4 linked regions of the Saccharomyces cerevisiae S288C genome follow. The protein of the gene in region 3 binds, or shares a complex with, the protein of the main gene of each other region. Each region holds a gene or a part of one and is shown on either strand. Other genes may lie near its edges.

What was found.
Region 1: MRPS9 (region 3) and VAR1 share a complex: the UniProt entries of both Saccharomyces cerevisiae proteins name them as parts of the mitochondrial small ribosomal subunit.
Region 2: MRPS9 (region 3) and MRP21 share a complex: the UniProt entries of both Saccharomyces cerevisiae proteins name them as parts of the mitochondrial small ribosomal subunit.
Region 4: MRPS9 (region 3) and RSM28 share a complex: the UniProt entries of both Saccharomyces cerevisiae proteins name them as parts of the mitochondrial small ribosomal subunit.

What each region holds. Positions count from the first base shown.
Region 1 is NC_001224.1:47,263-50,597, forward strand, and holds VAR1 (mitochondrial 37S ribosomal protein VAR1), read left to right. Parts: upstream 1-1,638; coding exon 1,639-2,835; downstream 2,836-3,335. UniProt on the Saccharomyces cerevisiae protein: Component of the mitochondrial ribosome (mitoribosome), a dedicated translation machinery responsible for the synthesis of mitochondrial genome-encoded proteins, including at least some of the essential transmembrane subunits of the mitochondrial respiratory chain.
Region 2 is NC_001134.8:47,021-49,860, reverse strand, and holds MRP21 (mitochondrial 37S ribosomal protein bS21m MRP21), read right to left. Parts: upstream 1,037-2,840; coding exon 503-1,036; downstream 1-502. Other genes in the region: AVT5 (amino acid transporter), read right to left, coding at 1-287; MAP2 (methionine aminopeptidase), read left to right, coding at 1,233-2,498; phospholipid metabolism-regulating protein SCS22, read left to right, coding at 2,681-2,714, 2,803-2,840. UniProt on the Saccharomyces cerevisiae protein: Component of the mitochondrial ribosome (mitoribosome), a dedicated translation machinery responsible for the synthesis of mitochondrial genome-encoded proteins, including at least some of the essential transmembrane subunits of the mitochondrial respiratory chain.
Region 3 is NC_001134.8:533,550-536,598, reverse strand, and holds MRPS9 (mitochondrial 37S ribosomal protein uS9m MRPS9), read right to left. Parts: upstream 1,340-3,049; coding exon 503-1,339; downstream 1-502. Other genes in the region: RTC2 (cationic amino acid transporter), read right to left, coding at 1-24; alcohol dehydrogenase ADH5, read right to left, coding at 1,782-2,837. UniProt on the Saccharomyces cerevisiae protein: Component of the mitochondrial ribosome (mitoribosome), a dedicated translation machinery responsible for the synthesis of mitochondrial genome-encoded proteins, including at least some of the essential transmembrane subunits of the mitochondrial respiratory chain.
Region 4 is NC_001136.10:1,435,344-1,438,516, reverse strand, and holds RSM28 (mitochondrial 37S ribosomal protein mS46 RSM28), read right to left. Parts: upstream 1,588-3,173; coding exon 502-1,587; downstream 1-501. Other genes in the region: CORVET complex subunit VPS3, read left to right, coding at 1-402; MZM1 (Mzm1p), read right to left, coding at 1,929-2,300; IZH1 (PAQR-type receptor), read right to left, coding at 2,643-3,173. UniProt on the Saccharomyces cerevisiae protein: Component of the mitochondrial ribosome (mitoribosome), a dedicated translation machinery responsible for the synthesis of mitochondrial genome-encoded proteins, including at least some of the essential transmembrane subunits of the mitochondrial respiratory chain.

The sequences.
Region 1 (3,335 bases), on a different chromosome or scaffold from region 3:
ATAAATTACCATAATAAGATATATTATTTATTAATAATAAAAATATTTATTAATAAATAAGAAATATATATATTATGATAATATTTATTAATAAATAATAAATTCTTTATATATAAATATATTAAATATATTTAATTGAACACAATATAATTTTTATTGTATTATTCATTTAATAATATTAATATTAATATTAATATAATATTAGTGAACATCTCCTTTCGGGGTTCCGGCTCCCGTGGCCGGGCCCCGGAACTATTAATATTTAATAAAATATATATAATTTATAATTTTCATATAATTAATATAATAATTAGGTTTATAAATAAATTATAATATATTATAACAATATAATAAAATATATTATAAATCTATCTATCTATCTATATAATATATAAATTTATATATACATTAATAATATTTAATTATAATTATTTAAATATTTAATTTATTAATATTCCCCGCGGGCGCCAATCCGGTTGTTCACCGGATTGGTCCCGCGGGGTTTATATTATTTAAATATTAAATATTAAATAATAATTTATATTATATTAATAAATATAATAAATTAAAAATATATGATTAATTATATAATAATAATAATAATTATTTTAATATTATAATTTATAAAATTAATTATATTAATTATATTAATTCTTATTATATAATAATTATTAATAATAATTTATTTTAAGAAAGGAGTGAGGGACCCCCTCCCGTTAGGGAGGGGGACCGAACCCCGAAGGAGAAAATAAATTAATAAAAGTTTAAAAGTTCTTATATTAATAATTATATAATATTATATTAAAGATTTTTATAATATATATATATAATATATTTATAGTTCCGGGGCCCGGCCACGGGAGCCGGAACCCCGAAAGGAGTTTATTTAATATTTATATTTATATTAATATTTATATTTATATTTATATTCCTCTTAAGGATGGTTGACTGAGTGGTTTAAAGTGTGATATTTGAGCTATCATTAGTCTTTATTGGCTACGTAGGTTCAAATCCTACATCATCCGTAATAATACATATATATAATAATAATTTTAATATTATTCCTATAAAAATAAAATAAATAAATAAATAATAATAATTAATTAATTAATTAATTTTAATAAATATAAAATATATAAAAATAATAATAATAATAATTATTATTTTAATAATATTATTTATATAATAGTCCGGTCCGACCCTTTTTATTCTTAAGAAGGGATTTTATTTTATTAATTAATAATAATATATTAAAAATTATAAATAATTAATAATTCTTTATATTTATATATATATATATATATTTATATATTTATATATATATTTTAATAATATTATGATATATTTTATTTTAATAATATTTTTATTTTTATATATAAAATTATAATATTTTATTTTATAAATTATTTATATATAAATTATTAATAATAATTATTTTTTTTTATTTGGGATTTATATTATTATTATAAAGAATATAATGTTATTAATAACTGCAAAAAATATCTAATATATTATTATTTATAATAATAAATAATATTATAATAAGGATGCATATTATATATATATATATATTTCTATTTATATTAATATTAATATTAATATGTATATATAATAGATAAAAAGTAAAAATAAAAAATAATGAAATTAAAATTATTAAATATAATTTTATCAATAATAAATAAACTTAATAATAATAATAATATTATTATTAATAATCTATTAGATTCATTAATAAATAAGAAATTATTATTAAAGAATATATTATTAGATATAAATAATAAAAAAATAAATAATATAAAAAGAATATTAAATAATAATAATATAAACCCCGCGGGCGCCAATCCGGTTGTTCACCGGATTGGTCCCGCGGGGAATATTAATAATAAATTACAACATTTAAATAATATAAATAATTGAAATCTACAAATTTATAATTATAATAAAAATATAGAAATTATAAATACTATAAATGATAAATTAATTAATAAATTATTATATAAAATAATAACTTTAAAATTAAATAATATAAATATTAATAAAATTATTATAAGTAAACTTATTAATCAACATAGTTTAAATAAATTAAATATTAAATTTTATTATTATAATAATGATATTAATAATAATAATAATAATAATAATAATAATTATTATATAAATATAATAAATAAATTAATAAATATTATAAATAATAATATAAATAATAATTTATGTAATATTTTAAGTTATTATTATAAAAAAAAAGTAACTATTGAACCTATTAAATTATCATATATTTATTTAAATAGTGATATTTTTAGTAAATATATTAGTTTAAATGATATAGATAAATATAATAATGGTATCTTAACTAATTATCAACGTATATTAAATAATATTATGCCTAAATTAAATGATCATAATATTTCTATAAATTATATTAATAATATTAATAATATTAATAATAATAAATATAATAATATAATTAATTTATTAAATAATAATAATAATATTAATAATAATAATAATTATAATAATAATAATAATAATTATATTGGTAATATTAATAATATTTATAATAATATAACTATTGATAATATTCCTATAGATATTTTAATATATAAATATTTAGTTGGTTGATCTATTAAATTTAAAGGTAGATTAAGTAATAATAATGGTAGAACTAGTACACTTAATTTATTAAATGGTACTTTTAATAATAAAAAATATTTATGAAGTAATATTAATAATAATTATAAATTAAATTATATCCCTTCTAATCATAATTTATATAATAATTCTAATATTAATAAAAATGGTAAATATAATATTAAAGTTAAATTAAACTTTATTTAATATATATATTAATAGTTCCGGGGCCCGGCCACGGGAGCCGGAACCCCGAAAGGAGAAATAAAATAAATATAATAAATAAAATAAATAAATAAATAATATATATATATATATAAATATATAAAATAATATTTACTTTTTATATATATATAATTATATATAAATAAAATATAATATAATATCATATAATTATATAAAAATAAAATTATAATTTATTTATATTAAAAATATTAATTAATTAATTTTTTTATATAATTATTATAATAATAATTTAATTAAAAATAAATATCAAATAAAATTATAAATTAATCCTACTTTTGGATCCTATTTATATTTTATTATTATAAATAATTATTATTGATAGTTAATTAAATAAAAATATATATATATATTACTCCTTCGGGGTCCGCCCCGCAGGGGGCGGGCCGGACTATTATAATTATTATTAATATATTAATTATTAAATTATATAAACCGCCCCCGCGGGGGCGGTTAGTTATTTA
Region 2 (2,840 bases), 490 kb from region 3:
CCAACGCCAAAACATTTAACAGCAATGGCAAAATCGAACACTACACTTATTGACGGATTGATTAGTTGGGTGAGTTTAGCAAACGAGGCGTTCTCAGATTTAGGTACGTACTTCGCTATTCGAGTCTGTAATAGCAGCCCACATAAGGAACATATTCCGCAAAATGTTAGCGTTATCAGACCAGGCATTAACCCAAATGGCTTGAATGCAAACGGCATTGCAAGTACGCCTGCTCCACATGCTGTATGGAGCAAAGTTAAGACTCCCGAACGTACGTTTGACGGCATATTGAGGAAGCTGCTTACTTTTCGTTTCCACTTTATCTTGCTGTTCGTTCGAGCAACAGTATTTATTTCCTTTTTTTGACGATGGAAATAATGGATAAGTGAAGTCATAGAATAAAAAATATACAAAAATTTAACTAAATAGTTACGCATTACCTATTTACAAAGACGGAAATCAATGGCGAAAATTTCACAATATTCAAGAGTTGATGGTACGATTAGTATCCTTTCCTCTTGGCATCTTTAACAATTTCAATCAACCTCTTGAAGCCCATCATGAATTCCTTCCTATGCCTTTGAGATCTCTTCAATTCAGCCACTTTCCCCGGCTTCATGTAAAACCGTTGACTTCTTTTATCTCCGGGAATATTGTTCTCAAACATGATCCTGTTTAATCTCTTAAATGATTCTGCAGGGTTGTTCTTATTCACGATTATAGATTTTCCAGAATTGAATCTCATTTGTGCATTCTCCACGCTACTTCTAGCAATTTCCGCCTCGGATAGAAGCTCCCTCTTGTTTATTCTCCCAGCAGATTGCATCATATCTACTGGAATTTCCATTGATAAAATATCTGCATTATCAGTTTTGCTTTTAGAGGTTTGGCCACGATCGCTGTTGCTTCCCTGAGCTAATTTGATTGGATTTAGTATGATTTTATCGATATCCGAATTTTGTTGGCGTAAACAGTCGATCGTTGTGAAACCTCTTCTGAGAGAGATTCTTGAAAGCCTCAGCGTGCTCTTCAACATTATGGTTATGCTCTTATGGGTGATATTTGACAGATTTTTTACTCTTCAAGGGACCTTTAATGACCTGGTCTCACTTATTTTTTATTTTCAATCTTGGGAAAGAAGCGAACTTAAAAAAGAAAGGAAGCCATAGCAAGAAGCTAATAAGTGGGCTTTTACATCAACAAGTACTGTAGAAGCTCTACCGTATTGAAAAATGACAGACGCTGAAATAGAAAATTCCCCTGCTTCTGATTTAAAAGAATTGAATTTGGAGAATGAAGGCGTTGAACAGCAAGACCAGGCAAAAGCTGACGAGTCAGACCCAGTAGAAAGCAAAAAGAAGAAGAACAAGAAAAAGAAGAAGAAGAAAAGCAATGTGAAGAAGATTGAATTACTGTTTCCAGATGGAAAGTACCCAGAAGGTGCGTGGATGGACTATCATCAAGATTTCAATCTGCAAAGAACCACGGATGAAGAATCACGTTATTTGAAAAGGGATCTGGAAAGGGCCGAACATTGGAATGATGTCAGAAAGGGTGCTGAGATACATCGTCGTGTGAGAAGGGCCATCAAGGACAGAATCGTTCCTGGGATGAAGTTAATGGATATCGCTGACATGATCGAAAATACTACAAGAAAGTATACAGGTGCCGAAAATTTATTAGCGATGGAGGATCCCAAATCTCAAGGTATTGGGTTTCCAACGGGTCTCTCTCTCAACCATTGTGCTGCACATTTCACACCCAATGCAGGCGACAAAACCGTTCTGAAATACGAAGACGTGATGAAGGTAGATTATGGTGTGCAGGTAAACGGTAACATCATTGATTCTGCCTTTACTGTTTCCTTTGATCCACAATACGATAACCTGCTAGCCGCTGTAAAGGACGCTACTTACACGGGTATTAAAGAAGCGGGTATCGATGTGAGATTAACCGACATCGGTGAAGCCATCCAAGAAGTTATGGAATCCTACGAAGTGGAAATCAATGGTGAGACTTACCAGGTTAAACCTTGTCGTAATCTATGTGGCCACAGTATCGCACCATATCGTATCCACGGCGGTAAATCCGTTCCCATCGTCAAAAATGGGGACACTACAAAAATGGAGGAAGGTGAGCACTTTGCCATTGAAACTTTTGGTTCTACTGGTAGAGGTTATGTTACTGCCGGTGGGGAAGTTTCTCATTATGCCAGATCTGCTGAAGACCATCAGGTAATGCCCACGTTAGACAGCGCCAAGAACTTGTTAAAAACGATAGACCGCAACTTTGGGACTTTACCGTTCTGTCGCCGATACCTAGACAGACTTGGCCAAGAGAAATACTTATTTGCGTTGAATAACTTGGTTAGACACGGTTTAGTACAGGATTATCCACCATTGAACGATATCCCCGGATCCTACACTGCACAATTCGAACACACCATCTTGTTGCATGCTCACAAAAAGGAAGTCGTTTCGAAAGGTGATGACTACTGAGGTAAAATGCGCTTTCAAATGGCCTCCTCACTAGGTATATGAATACTGTTGTAGTTATATAGATAGTTTAATATGGCTTGCCGCCCGTTTAGAATGATGCATTACCTTATATAAGACCTATGGGGGTCTCAAACAGTGGTATGACGACAGATAATATAAGCACTAGTTCAGACGAGTAAACAATGAGAATAGTGCCAGAAAAGCTGGTGTTCAAGGGTATGTTTGACGAGAATTGCTAGTGTGCGGGAAACTTTGCTACCTTTTTTGGTGCGATGCAACAGGTTACTAATATGTAATACTTCAGCTCCCCTTAATAAACAATCAACAGAGTATATAAAGCTC
Region 3 (3,049 bases):
CAAAATAATTGGGATCAGCTTCATGGCAGAAATTTAGGGATGCTCGCTTGAGGCTATTACGTCTGGGTTATAACAAAATATTGTGGGATATTACAGGAGAATAGTTTATTTATATGCCTGAACCCGGTGTTATTTGTAGTATTTATGGTTTATATTATGACTCTTTTTACATGTAACGGTCATAGTAAAATCTATTCTGATTTGCATCTTATCATCTCCTTCTTTTTTCCAATGGAATTTGAGTCATTGCTGCAAGGCCCCTTTGCTTTGCGGGTGAGAGGAAAAAAAAGATGAAGTATTATGTGCAGTAAGTAGAAGAAAATACTAACTGAGCAATATTCGAATACATATAACTTTATTTACAGGAATAACGAACGAGAGTTGTGCTTCTAATGCTGGGCGGCGTTGTATGCAAAATATATAACGTTTCTTCTGGCATGTGTCAAAAAACTCAGAGCACGCACGCTTCCGTTCGAAATTGAGGTAACAAGATGCACTAAGACTATCTCTTGACCCATGTTGGCATCTTTCTTGCCTTCTTTTTTCCTGGCTTCTTTCTTTCGACGTGCCTGTAATCTCTTGTTAAGACGCCAGCTTTATGTAGTCTGGATTTTAATAATGGATTGAACACAACCAAAGCTTTCGCAATGGCGTGCATGATTGATTCAGCCTGACCCGTAGGTCCGCCTCCAGACGTTGTCGCAAAAATATTGTACTTTCCAACTGATTCGATCACTTGAAGTGGATACATGATTGATTCTCTGTCTTTCATCTTAAGGAAGTAATCATTCAATTGTCGACCATTAACTAATATCTCACCTGTACCTCTAACAACGAATACTTTCGCAGTGGAACTTTTCCTTTTTCCAACGGCTATACTTCTTCCAAACTCATCTAAAGTTTTGATTTTGATATTATTGGAAAGCATTGAACTTTTTTTATAATATTGGGATAGTTCGGATGTGATTTCATCATTAGTAAGTTGAGGATCAATGTTGTGAAGTTTATTCAACATATACAGTAGCTGAGTATATTGCGTAGGCTTTAATTTCGTACCACCGCCGATTAAAGCGTACTCATCGAAAGAAATCCAAGGAGCTTTTGTTTGTTGTGCTTCATTGTTGTTCTGAGATGGCAGTTTTATGTATTTCCTTAGAAGTCTTTCGAGTCGATTAATACGATCTTCATGGTTAGGATTCGCCGAATAAAATGTGGCTAGCTTTGGGACGATCCTTCTGGGCAATTCATCCTCGGTTTTTTGATAAATAGTCCTAAAAGACATTCTCATAGGGGCAGGAGCCAGAGCTGCCCTTCGAAACAAAGAAAGCCTTGAAAACATTCCGCTTGGCTCAAACTCTGTCCACAACGAGTAAATTTTAGCTAATCAATTTAACCAATTTCTACTCCTCCTGGTTTCAGTTTCCAGTCGACATTATTAAATTTCTTTTCCGTAAATGGCCTATTTCAGTTTGTCTTACGCACGCAGTTGCTAGTTTTAAATATATCATTTTATACGTAAAGTTCATCTATATATCACATTATATGTCTCGTAAAACAATGGATTACAAAGAATTAGATATTGAAACGTTTGTATAGGTTGTTCTTGTAAGGCAAAATACCAAATGTCCACCGGTTCTCGCAAAGTACAGAATCACTCGCTATTTACTGAAGTTCAGAAATGGAGTAATTCTCATTGTTACAAATAAATCGTAAAAAGTCAATATCTACAAAATAGCTTATATAAAAAGTAAAAATATATTCATCAAATTCGTTACAAAAGATCATTTAGAAGTCTCAACAACATATCTACCAACAATTTCACCCTTCTCCATCTTTGCAAAAATTTCAGGAACATCCGATAGGCCAGCTAAGTGGATCGGAGATTTGATCAAACCTCTGGCGAAGAAATCTAAAGCCTCCCTTGTATCAGCTCTATTTCCAACACAAGATCCAACGATGGAGATTGATTTTACAACTTGATTGAAAACATCGGAATTGCAGTAAGCATGAGCTGGCATACCAACCAGGACGACAGTACCATTGGGCCTACAATACCTCGTAGAAGCCTCGATAGCTGCTTCAGAAACAGACACATTAATAACTCCATGAGAACCGCCATTAGTGGCCTTTATTATAGCACCAACAATGTCTTTTTCTTCCGTGAAATCGATGAATATTTCTCCGCCTAATTGTTCAAATAACTTTCGCTTGGCATTACCACCATCGATACCAATGACCCTGTAACCCATAGCAAGGGCGTATTGGATTGCCAGAGAACCCAAGCCACCGCATGCACCGGATATAGTGACCCATTGGCCTGGTATCACATTGGCTCTTTTCAACGCCTTATAAACAGTGATACCTGCACACAAGATTGGGGCAACTTCAGCAAGATTGACGTTTGGTGGAATATGGGCAGCTTGAACGGCATCGGCAGTTGCGTATTCTTGAAAAGTACCATCATGTGTGAAGCCAGTACCATCCAAATAAGGACATTGAGATTCATTACCTACTTCACAATATTCACAGGACATGCAAGTCCCATTCAACCATTTTATACCTGCAAAATCACCGACTTTCCAGCCCTTAACGTTAGATCCCAACTTAACAACAACACCAGCACCTTCGTGACCACCGATTAATGGAAATTTCAATTGAAATGGCCAATCACCGTGCCACGCGTGCAAGTCACTATGACAAACACCAGAATATTTAACGTGGACTAAAATTTCGTTAGGCTTAGGTTCCGGAACTGTGACGTCTTTATATTCCAATTTTCCATCTGTCTCATAAAAGACAATAGCCTTTTGTTTTTCAGGAATGACTTGCGAAGGCATGATGCTTTGATTTTGTAGATATGTAGTTAAATAATTTTCTTAGGTATCTTCCAATCAGAGACATTGTGAGACAGTAAAGCAGTAGTTTGCGCTAGAAATATCTTGTAGTCCCTCTTTTATATTCGTAGTATGTTATATAGATTACAATCTAGACAATACGAAGGAACGATCCCGCGTCAGCAGATGTCACAATTTGATTATTTCATTGTCAC
Region 4 (3,173 bases), on a different chromosome or scaffold from region 3:
TTTTTCCCCAATGAATTAACAAACTGGGTTTCTTCCGAAGAATTGCTGAAAATATATTTGTCATTTAATGATTTCAGAAGTGTAGAAAAATACATAGGCAAGCAGAACTTGGTTGCGGTGATGAAACAATACTTGGACATATCTTCTTTGAATTACTCAGTTGAATTAGTGACTAATTTGCTACAGAGAAATTTTGAACTTTTAGATGATACAGATATTCAATTAAAGATCCTCGAAACTATACCTTCCGTATTTCCCGTACAAACAATATCCGAATTGCTTTTAAAGGTACTTATTAAGTATCAAGAAAAGAAGGAGGAATCTAATTTGCGGAAATGTTTGTTGAAAAATCAAATATCCATTTCTGACGAACTAAGCCGGAATTTTGATAGTCAAGGATAAGAAGAGCCCACCTATTCTTTTTCTGTTCAGGCATACAATTCAAATTTTATACGTACTAGATATTTACAGGTATGTAAGAATGAAATAACGATGTTTGATTTACTGTTGTAATTCAGAAATTGGTTTCATTCCAGAACAAACATCATATACCAATTTCTTTTCCTCGGAGCCCATAACAACAGATTGTAATGATAACCTCACAACTTGACTATTTTGTACGAGCTTACTCACAGTATCTTTAGATTTCGTCAGTTTTTCAAAATCTTTTTTCACATATGGTTTTAAGAGTTGATATTCTCCTGTTACTTGCCTATGAAAATCTTCTGGGTCTTCTTCAATAAGTAAATTCTGCAATTGAGGCTCTTTGGCAAAAATCAAGGAGGATCCTGGTGTATATTTACCAAAGTTTGGCGTGTTTAGGGTGAAATCATGTACTTTGAGGATTCCCAAATTTGGCGATCTGTAAATGGGGTAATTGGATTTTTTCAAGCTATCTAAGGTAAAGTTGACTAATCTGGATTCCTTTGTTGGAAAAACTTGAGGAGTATATTCTAACAAAGATAAAGGAGTGGGCTCTTCTAGTACATATTCTGAACTGACAGGTCTCTTGATAACCTTCTGTAGCTGCTGTTGAGGAGCCTTTCTCCTTTTAGATGCTGTTAAGATATGACTCTTTTTTTGAAACCTTGCTTTAGATTTGGGGGTTCCATTGAAATTAACAGGTTTTTGCTCCATCGACGAATTGAAGACATCAAGTAAATCATCTTCGACTCTCGCATCTCCTTTCAAATTATTTTTGCCATTCTGCATCTTTTTGAACTGTGGCTGCATAACTACTGTATTTCCAGTAGGATTCTTTACAAAAGACGTATTAGCACCTTTATTCCACTGCTGCTTGTTAGCACGAACAGAATCACTAGAACGGTTTTTCAGTCTCATGTTTCTTTCTCCTTGATTTCCCTCTCTACCCCTGCTTTCTTTATTGTTCATACTATTCCTATTCTGATTCCCGTTTCTCCTCTTATTTTGCATTCTACCCTCCTTCATCTTGTCCAATTTGAGAGCATTGGAGGAAGCTTTTGCTGTTGCCTCTTGAGCCCTTGCTAGAATGCTATTTATGAAATCTTCTGTGACACTTGTGCTGTAATGAGCGCGACTCACACATCTAAACATGGAGGAGCGCATTTTCTACTCCGTCTATTTCTCTTATTATGGCTCGTCCAACTAGATTATTTAATGAGTTACCGCTGCCCTTTTCCTCTTTTATGCTTTCTCCAGTTTCGTTAAGTTTAATTCCGCTATAAAGCTTTGTTCATTTCCGTCAAAAGGGATAAAGCACTAGCAACTACGCTGTTTCAGTAGCACATCAAATACAACAAGCTGTATACATGTACATACTACAAACAGAACAAATGCAACGATATATCGTGCTAAATCAGTTTATATGCCACCTAGCAAAGTTGCTAGGTACTAAAAAAGTATTTACATGTATATAGCTTCGAAGATAAAACAAAATCAAGGCATTATCATTGCTTTTTATCAGAGCATTTAAATGGTCTTGCCTTTAAGTTTGTTTTCACTCTTGCCGTAGGGTCTGCAATCGTCTCATTGTCACCCAATTCGGTGTCTTTGTGAATGTTCAAATGGTACCTAGGCTCCTTAGTACTTGAGCCATCAACCTTTTTGCCCTGAACCAGGTTTCGTCTCAAAAAAACAGCCACATCCTCTAAATGTTGAATCTGATCCTCTGTGGTGAGTTTAGGATCTGGGGGACATAACATTCCTGAACGCATTTTAGCTCTCGCGGCTAGTAATACTTCAGCATCATTCCGGAAAGCTATTCGGGTTGCTCTTAAGCCATGCCTGTATGCATTCAGGGCCTTTGTTCTCGTGCTCATAGTGTGTTAAATTTATATAATTTGTTCTTTTTATTCTCTTCAGTGAAACGCAAGCGTACCGAAAAATATAAGGAAGTCTTTTAGTCCTATCCTTTTCTCTTCCTCTCTTTCCTTTGTAGTAGGTTCACTTATTCAAACGTTTAATTTTTCGGCATTACTCACTTTAGTAAGACCAAAATTAATTAGGCTAATATAGCGAAGTACCTGTCAAAATGCGATCTATGATAAAAGCATGATGTGACGAATATCTAAAAAGGAATAAAGACTTTTTTTGCATTTAATTATTTTCTAACCTTAGATATATAATGTTATTTATTTGATTTTGTAGTAGTTGTAGGCCCATCAAGGGTGGATATGAGAATGCATTAATTTGTAAGAATCGATAATGGCTTTCAAGTGGCATACAGAACCAAGAACCACCATAATATGAAATATTTGATGAGAGCTACCGAAGAAATCGAACTTCCCTGGAGCCAAAGTTTCAGGAATCCTAAACCCGTAGATTACAGCCCCTGAAATGTAAAAGAGAGCTTCCCAAAACACAAAGCTGACTTTTATTCTGTTAAGAACCCCTTGGATACCGAACTTGAAAAACCCTGTGGTCAATGGGAGTAAGCCACTAAATCCAAACAATATGAAAAACATGGCCCTAAATGGACGAAATGTGGAAGTGTTAAACTTGTCGTGGAGGACACAGACTGTACAAAATGTTGCCAGGACTAAAGTAACAATCGTGAAAAGACTGAAGTAGGATATGTGGTCGAAGTAACCAAAGTATATTATAGGGATCATAGAACAGGAAATCAAACTGATAATCCCCAAGTAGTCGAGCTTGCTCCAGAAATTGCTTTGCTTTTCAGAGTGTTGCTTCAT